2 linked regions of the Yarrowia lipolytica genome follow. The protein of the gene in region 2 interacts with the protein of the main gene of each other region in a pairwise test. Links are inferred from orthologs where the notes say so. Each region holds a gene or a part of one and is shown on either strand. Other genes may lie near its edges.

The links. The genes of interacting proteins can lie anywhere in the genome.
Region 1: the proteins of YALI1_E33858g (region 2) and YALI1_D35126g interact in binary tests that used the Saccharomyces cerevisiae proteins (3 or more experiments, as listed by UniProt). The link is inferred for Yarrowia lipolytica from reciprocal best matches to the Saccharomyces cerevisiae genes SEN34 and SEN15.

The regions. Positions count from the first base shown.
Region 1 is NC_090773.1:3,510,984-3,514,485, forward strand, and holds YALI1_D35126g (uncharacterized protein), read left to right. Parts: upstream 1-1,555; coding exon 1,556-1,879; downstream 1,880-3,502. Other genes in the region: YALI1_D35119g (uncharacterized protein), read right to left, coding at 1-889; YALI1_D35143g (uncharacterized protein), read right to left, coding at 2,069-3,220.
Region 2 is NC_090774.1:3,382,998-3,388,236, reverse strand, and holds YALI1_E33858g (uncharacterized protein), read right to left. Parts: upstream 2,440-5,239; coding exon 1,642-2,439; downstream 1-1,641. Other genes in the region: YALI1_E33843g (uncharacterized protein), read right to left, coding at 3,240-3,962. UniProt on the Saccharomyces cerevisiae protein: Constitutes one of the two catalytic subunit of the tRNA-splicing endonuclease complex, a complex responsible for identification and cleavage of the splice sites in pre-tRNA. It cleaves pre-tRNA at the 5'- and 3'-splice sites to release the intron.

The sequences.
Region 1 (3,502 bases), on a different chromosome or scaffold from region 2:
CCATGTAGTCAGGCTGGATAGCAACGGCAACCTTCTGCTCGTACTCGCCATCGAGCCACTCCTCCTCAATCTCCATAGGGTAGACTCCCCAGGTGTTTGACACCCATTCGGTGATGTGGAAGACACTGCTGTCCTCAATTTCTCGCTTGTGCAGAGCCTTACCCTGAATGTATGCGCAGTGGAGTCGGACCTTCTCGGCGTCGGGGAATTCTCGGGTGTACCAGGTGAACCAGTGGACGTGATCAAGCATGACACCCTTTCCGTATTGAGGGGAGCACCAGGGGCCAACTCGCTGCTTCTTCACCTTGATAAACTTCTCGGGTGTGCATCGCTCAACAGGGTTGAAGGAGGCCTCGATGGGATCCTCCTCGTCCAACATCTCATTGTGGACCACGACATCAGTAGGGTGAGCGGTCTTGTAGCCAGCAGAACGAGCGTTCTCAGTCACGTCTCGGTTGACGTGGAACCAGTCTCCATACTCAGGAGGAGCATTCTTAGTCTTTCCTTTGACCACCTTGGGAGTGATGGTCTTGGCCTGACCGTCCTTCTTCAGCTTGATCCAAGGGTTGGGAACAGCACCCACCTGTCGCTGGCCTCGGAAAAGCGCGTCTCCCCAGACGGTGGGGGTGACATGCATGGGTTCACCTCCATCTGTGGGCTTCAGCAGCCACGGCTTGGTCACATGGGCCTTTGTGATTTTAGTTTTCTTGGAGAACACCTTGGGGGGTCGCTTAAAGGGGTCTGCTCGCTTCTCGAGGTCAGACACGTCTGTGGGCTCGGATCCGGGCAAATCTGTGATGGTCGAGTAGTCGATGGCTTCGGTGTTTACCACGGTAGCTGTTGGCAGCGCCAGAACGGCTCCGGCAAGAAGAAGTACCGAGAATTTCATTGTTGTGTACAGTAGTGTTACACGTGTGTTGAGGCTATGCGATGTAGCGTGCGAATGCGGGTTTGGGGGGCACTAGGGCAGATGCTGAGCTCAAATACTCTTGTTTTCAACGTGTTTTTAGGCGGTGGCGAAAATGGTCGTGACTTCACAGGTGTGTTAGGAAGACTGTTGGAGGGTGATGTGTGTTTTTAAACCTGATGCGTGATTTAGCTCAAAAAATGAGATACATGAAGTATAAGCAGAATGTTTGTACGGCTGGGAGGAGAAACGGGTGAAAAGTCGGGCGTTTGGAGGCGTAAAACGTGCGTTCGAGCAGCAAAAATGTTCATAACAGTGAATCAACATATTAAACGCCCTCAAACGGTCAATAAGCATTATATTCACGGACTTACCGCCGCCTCGCTTTCGCCAGTCGTATCTCAGTGTTACGTTTCCCGGACTTGTAGAGTTCTGAGCCTAATCCAGGTTTTTGGTGGCACCCAAGTCTTCTCCCAAACACGAGTATTTTCCAGCATATGCAGATTTTCCTAGGACCGTTAAAAATTAAATCCGACGGAGATAACGCGCCCGCAGAAACTTTGAGACGCACAGTAAGCAGAAAAAGTTAGTGGTAGACGACTGGCACAGATACTGAACAAAACAACCACTATCAATCACACATTCACCATGGCTGAACAAATAAGAACCAACCTTGTTCATCAGCATCTGTGGAGCGACGTGGTCATCCACCAGACTAAGCTCACAGACCTGGTGCATGGAACTCCACCCAGGACTTTGCACCCTGATGACGCTGAGATCAGATCGGAATGGCTAGTACCTGCCAGATCCAACGACGACTGGACTATCAAGCAGTGGGACGAGTGTTTTCGCGAGGCTGAGGGTGTGGCTGGAAAAGACGTCGATCGCATGCTAATGGCCATCGTGGACAATGACTCCACCATCGTCTACTACTTCGTCTACAAGGGTCTGGTCAAGCCTCGAAAGAACTAGATTCACAACTATTATACACCCTGTTCCGTTATGATCCCGGTCCAGGCATTATCACCTTGCATTATAAATATATGTACATTACATGAAACAATATGGTCTGGGGCATAGTAATGTAGCACCCAGTCAGCCAGAAGACCTGTAGCTCGCGGCTTAAATAGGTCTTGACTGTAACATCAACTTCCATCTTTGTCACTCCAAAAACACCATGGATTCGTCAATCACAGGGCTCAGTTTCACATTGCCACTGTTAACCCAACGTCTAACAGATTTCTTCAAAACCCGTCCTCCCAGTTGTACCTTCTTGGCTTTTTCGTCGCTGTAGAGAACTACAGCATGCATTTCTTTGAGTGCTCGCATCACATCTTCCGGCTGGATATAAGTATGTTCGCTGATCGTCTCAATCGTGATGACGTCTTCTGTACACTCTATCAAGATGAACCGGGCTATCGTAGTACACCAGTAAGACATATATGATAAAGTGCCGAACTTCGACAGCGGTCGCTCTGGACTTCCTTTACGGCCTTCGTACTTCGACAGCACGTATGAAAACTCGATCAGCAGTTTGCCCAGCCCTCGCCTTTGATACGGAGGAAATACCAGAATGCAAGCCAGATTGTTTTCGTCCCACGACAGTTTCTCCTTGGAGAAGAAGCCCATGGGTTTAAAGTGCCTGCTGCTGGCGGTATCCTTGCCGAGCACAACATAAAATTCAAAGGCATCGGCGCCGAAGAACACAGACTTGTGGTCCAGGAAGAGCTTCGCGAACAGACAGAGATTCTGGCAGTAGAGCTTGTGAACGGCGCCATCAACACGGCGAATGGCATAGTCTTTCGATTTGTAAACCGTCTCTCCGGGGTGCTTGAACACATACTTGCAGGTGCTTCGGTGTTGGGCCATGTCCTTGGAGACCTTCGAGTATTTGAAACACGAGTCGCAGACAAACAGCTGTTTGACCTGGAAGTCGACCTGGGCTGGTGGTTGGTCATTGGGGGCCACAGATGCGTTTGCTGATGATCCAGAGGACGAAATGGTTGAGGATGTTAATGCAGAAGAGGTTCCTCCAGGTGTGCCAACAGACGGAGAGCTGTAGCGCTCAATGAAGAGCCGGGACATGTCGCAGGTGTGATTGTCCTTGTCCTTGTCGAGGGCCTTGGCCTCCATCAACGCCATGGCCCGCTTCCAGGTCAACTTCTTGAGTTCGTCCTTCTGTGAAAAATAGTATGCCGACGAGTGGTACCACGTGTCGAATTCACGAGGGCCAAAGACCACCCGTCCAATGTTTCGTGGAGGCTCTTCTTCCTCCTCATCGTCCAAGGGGTCGTCGTGCATTAGTGTTGGCATGCCAGGAGAAGATGTTGTCTATGTTGAAGGACTTCGTTTCTCGTCACCACAGAACAGTCATGCACGCTTCAACGTCGCGCTTAAAGACCCATGAGGCGGATGTGTAATAGATTACTTGTAGAGCAATTACTAACGAGAATGGTGTATAACATACTAGGGCTCAGTGTGCACACTATGTAACCATCATTTAATATAAATGTGTCTCTTTTAATTACACCTTTCATTTTTCTACTGAGACCACCTCACTTGCGGCTCGTACTATTTTCGCCCCTCAAAAATCGA
Region 2 (5,239 bases):
AAGAAGTGTGTAATAATTACCATGGATGTGTAACAGGCTGTGTTGCCAAGTGTTTGTGAATATTGTAGTGTCATGTGTTTGTCAAGTGTGTGGCGTACTGGTGCTTAGCCAGGGACTACAGTATCGTACAGTAGCAATGCTTGGTTGTTGCTTGATACACACCTCAGATAAGCTACTGCAAGGGCGGTGGGCATGATGATCTGGAGTGGAGATTATGGGGTAGGTGGGAGGATCCAAGTGGAGATCGCACTGGCTGGGGAAAAGACATTTGGGCTGAAATCAAGCCGAGACACGGCGATACACCCATTGTGGGTCTGTTTTTATCACACACGCCACATAATATCTGTTATCAAAAGCAAACCCGGGCTAGTCAAGTCAAGTGTTACATGTCCGCTATTTCCTCCACTTTGGTCAAGCCACATTTGCTCGTTTTGGTTGGGGTCTTTTCGAGGCAGCTGTCTTTGCGACTCACGGACTAAATGGCTGAATGAGGCTCACTTTAGTTACAGGGGCTGGTGTCATAATCGAGCTGACAGCAATGACACAATAGTTGGTTGAGAGTCGTCTCTGTGCGGTGCATACTACAGTAAGGTGCTTCATGTATCGTACCATGCTGCAAACACACATTCATTTTCTGAATATCTCACTCTTCCCTCATTCAACGCTTCATTTATTCACCATATATCTCACTTCCTCTTCTGCTTCTCCGCTAACCGCGCTCCAGGTGTGGCGCCGATTATAGCTTGGCTGTGTGAGCCCCATGAGTCGCCGGGGCTTTGCCTCTGAAGAGGCCCCTCGACGAACATATTCAAGCCACATTTGGCTGTGCACTTGATGAGGTAAATCCTGAAAATGTTGTGGTCAAAATAATGCCAATGGTAAAATCGAGGGTACTTGTAGCTATAAGTAGTTCTGATACCATTGCTTATTATCTTATAAATTTTCTCCATTTTTCATATCGAGTCTCCAAAGTGCGACGGGCGTACGAGTCCCTCTTCCCGAGACTACTGTAATACAGTATCATAGCTATCGTACAGTAGTTAATGTTCGTAGACTGTATTCCAAAAACAGCGTATAGCCGCAAGCAAGCTTGATGGTGAGAGCTTAGACGAATGGTTAAGGAAAACGAAAACGAAAATCGACTGAATGGTCACGTGGAAACAAGGGATTTACTACGTTGCTGTAGTCGGCAGGAGAAGACGACATCACCACACTTCTCTGTTTGTTCCTATTGTACGTGTAAGGCTACTGTACAAATACATGCTGCATCAAGGTGGGCTCTGGTGTGAGCAGGAATATCTATGTACTTGTACTTGTACTTGTACTTTGTAGGAAGCGACAGCTTTTGTGAAGCTCAAAGAAGCTCTACAGTATATCTGGTGAACGTCAACAGTTGTTTTTCTTGATGGTTTCATCTCCTCGCCGTAATTTTTCATACGACACCAAAATGAAGATCATATGGCAAACCCTTTGACATTGTATTGTAAAAGAACCTATAAACAACACCACAAAGGTTTCTTAAAGAAAACATTGCGGTCTTTGTCAACGATCTATATTATAAGTAGCAACAACCCAATCAGATCCCTCAGCTTTTTATTATCATTTTTCATTATAGTATGTACATTGTCACCCACTCTTCATCTAACCAAAACCACTCCACTCAATGCAATACACACTGTCCCCACCCTCGTCATTCTCTCCCCCAAGAACAAGACACTTCTTTACATTAGTTCCAAGACGCCCTCCTCCAACAATAACACTTTTGATGGGGAATTTCTCCTCATACTCCTTGCCAATAGCAATGTAATGGGAGTGGTATCTGACGGAGTCTCCGGGGTATGCCAAAAAATTGCCTCCAAACCGCAGGCCAGGTGACAAGAAATACCCTCGGGAATGCAAAAAGTTGAAGATATAATACTGAGCCGAAGTCACGTGCTCTAGCAGGTCGCTCAGCACATTCTCCTTGCTGAACATGTTGTATCCCTCCAGCGTCTCATTTGTAGTGGTAGCATCAGTGACGTATGATATGGCGTTATCAGTAGCAACCACAACCTCCTTGTCAATCTTCCCGCTCATTCCCTTCTTCTCAAGAGCCTGCCGACGTCGCTCAAGCATACCCTCTGTATACTCCTTGATCTGCAGTTGCTGGGCTGTATGGCGTTGTTTTTCGTAGTTTTCGATATCTTCAGGCGTTTGGGAAGTAAGGGCTGTCACATGACTTGCACTATCGTCCACAACCTCTGCAATTCCATTCTTCATCAGAAATATCACCTCTTCCTTGAACAGTTGCAGTGGCAGGCCACAGAAGACATTCTGTTGGGGGATTTGAGGTAGCGTACCGATTAACGTGCCTCCAATGAGATGCTCTTGCCGGAGAAACCGGATGTCCTCTACCTTAAACACCAGATACTTGTCGTTGATGCGTTTGATCTGGATCATGATGTGGTGAGGAAAAAATTAGGTGGACAGAAATATGCATCAAAATATGTACAACCATGAGCTTATTTTCGATAAGGCCGAAGTTTAATCGGTGGTGATGAAGGGCTTGGGAGGGGGTTGTGGAACAGTAAGGAGCGAGATGAGTAGACGTTTTTCGAGAACTTGTGGTACAATGTTATAACTTCTAAAATTCGACACAACATATATTTTTGGTGACTTTAGAAGGCTAAATAAATGGTCTATAGTGTGTTTCAGACACGCATTCTTTGTAACGGAAGCTACTTGTAGTTGTAGTGAAAATTCATGGAGAACATTGATGCTTTGGTACGATACAGTAGACTGTAAGTGGTTATCAATTTTTTACTGACTATACCGTTTCAAATTCTGTATGACGGATAAGAGACATCTGTGTGAGCTCAATCCTAAAAGGGACCAGGCAAGCCTGAGGATATGATGATTCTGTTGAAGGATCTAATATTTCAGTTTCAGCAAATTCATTAGGGTAGCTGAATACAGCTGAAGTATTTCATCCTCCTCACACCTCCTACAATAGGCCTCCGGTATGACCTGAACGCCTCGCAGTTCGCTACTCGTAGCTTCTATATCGACATCTCCCATTGAGACAACATGTCCCGCCAGTGTCACATAAACAAATTAAAAACATTGTTACACATCTAACAAAACAGACATGGTCACTTATTGTCCCACCTCATTGCTGCTCACGTGGTAGCTTCTCTCTGACTGAGCGAGCAGACTTTGAGTCCAGTAGCCAAAACACTGCCTTCATCTCCAGATCCTTACTACTCGTCTTTCTTCTTAAAGTACTGAGTCATCTCCTTAATCCACTTGGGCTCAATGACCACCAGCTCAGCCTCAGCAAGCACGTTCTGCTTCTTCTTCTCCCACAGATCACCTCCCTCAAACTTCTCGATAGATCCGTCAGCAATTACCTTTCGGCCCTGAATGTCCTTAGTCTCCACTCGCACCATGAGGTACTGGTTCTCTCGAACTGGTTGTCGGTAATTGATCTCCAGGGTGCCAGTCACTCCGTACTGCTGAGAGGGCAGGCTGGGGAAGGCCCCCAGACATACAAACTCATCCAGCAGGGTGCCCAGGAAACCACCATGCACGATTCCAGTGTGTCCGTTTAAATGGTCGCCGACGTGCAGAAATGCATACATGACACCGTTCTTTCCGTCATCACACCGCTTGTAGAACAGCAGTGGATCAACGGTCAGGTATCCAGGCTTCTTCAGAAACGACTCCAGGAATCCTCGAGAGTACTCCAGAGGAATCTTCTCACTCAAACGGGTCTCACGAAAACCTTTCTCCCGCAGCTCCTTGGCGAATTGACTGTTGTGAAGAAAGGTGCTCTCCTTGGAGTGAAAATGATCCTTCTCGGTAGCAACCGGATAAGTCAGCTCATGACGCCCCAGAGCACCGAAGTGGTACCCGGTCATGGCAGTAGCTCCAGCAACGAGCGAGAGTCCAAAGATCTTGGCCGTCCTTGCAAGCGTCGCCATTGTGTTTGGTGTGTTGTGTGTTAGGTGACAGTGATAGAAGAGAGGTCACTGTGGGAGATATCCGGGGAAGAATAGAGTTTATCCACAGGTGGGGTATTATGCCCTGAGTGACATTCAGGTGGCATGTACGCGTATATGGGGTTGGGGTGAGTAAGGAAATCAAGTTTCTAGTCTACTTAGAAAAGAATGCGCTTTTCAGAATTTACTCATCATCTGTATTGGCCAAGATATAGTACAGTATGGTCAGATACCCAATTGATGACGCTTGAACTCTATGAGGAAGGGCTGGAGAGTCTGTGTTTTGCTAATGGGCACACCTGCGAGAAAATGAGTGACTTTTCGGGAAAAGAAGAAGGCTGCATGTTGATTTAGTTTTTCAGCTAACCTCTCAGATCAATATCACGTCTTTTGAAGTACGCCGGCAGGTACAGTTACGGTACAGTGTACTCATCAGTGGTGTAGCCAAACTATGCTCATTGGTGGGTGTCAATGAGGATGGATGCAGGAGCTGCGAACAATCTGTTACATTCACCAACTTACATGTAGAAAACAGAGCACAATTCAGCTTTTAAAACCGAGATGGCTCCAATATTGAACCCAATGGTTGGTCCCTGGAAAGTCCCTTCATCTGAGAAATGTGCCGCGAAGGCTACAGTAGCCCACCTTGTTGGGTGACAGAAGACAAAAAGGGCTGATAGAGCATCATAAAACAGTTCCGTAAAATAAAAATGTAACTTAAGAAGCCTTCAGAAATCATATCCACATCCTATCAAGTTATTCTGATCTACAGTATGTACTGTCCAGCTTCACTCAACGACTTGGTAGGTGCTGTGTCTAAAAATTATGAGTACAAGTAATTACGTGATACATATATAAAAAAGAGGGAATACATCTGACTCAGAGTGACTGACACACTAAATGATTCCATTGGAACAGCTATTAAATCCACAGAATAAACAAAATACTCACTCGATCGTCTCTTGTCATTCCCTTCAAGTAAATCACCAAAATAAGTTTCATAAGACGGAATCTTAGAAACTTCTAGTACCCGTCAACCGTAACAATAGAAGATCAGGTTGACTATTGAAGCAAATCGACCTAGTCTCCTCAGTTGCTGATATTCAATGATACCCACATCTCACTTTCTTCACACATGAAATCTTCCACAAAATCCACGTACAGTACAAGCGATATCTCTATATTCCACACCTTTCTTCCTAATATTACAGTATATTTCTCCCAACCCCAACTTTATTGTCATCTCCAATATCGGTGTC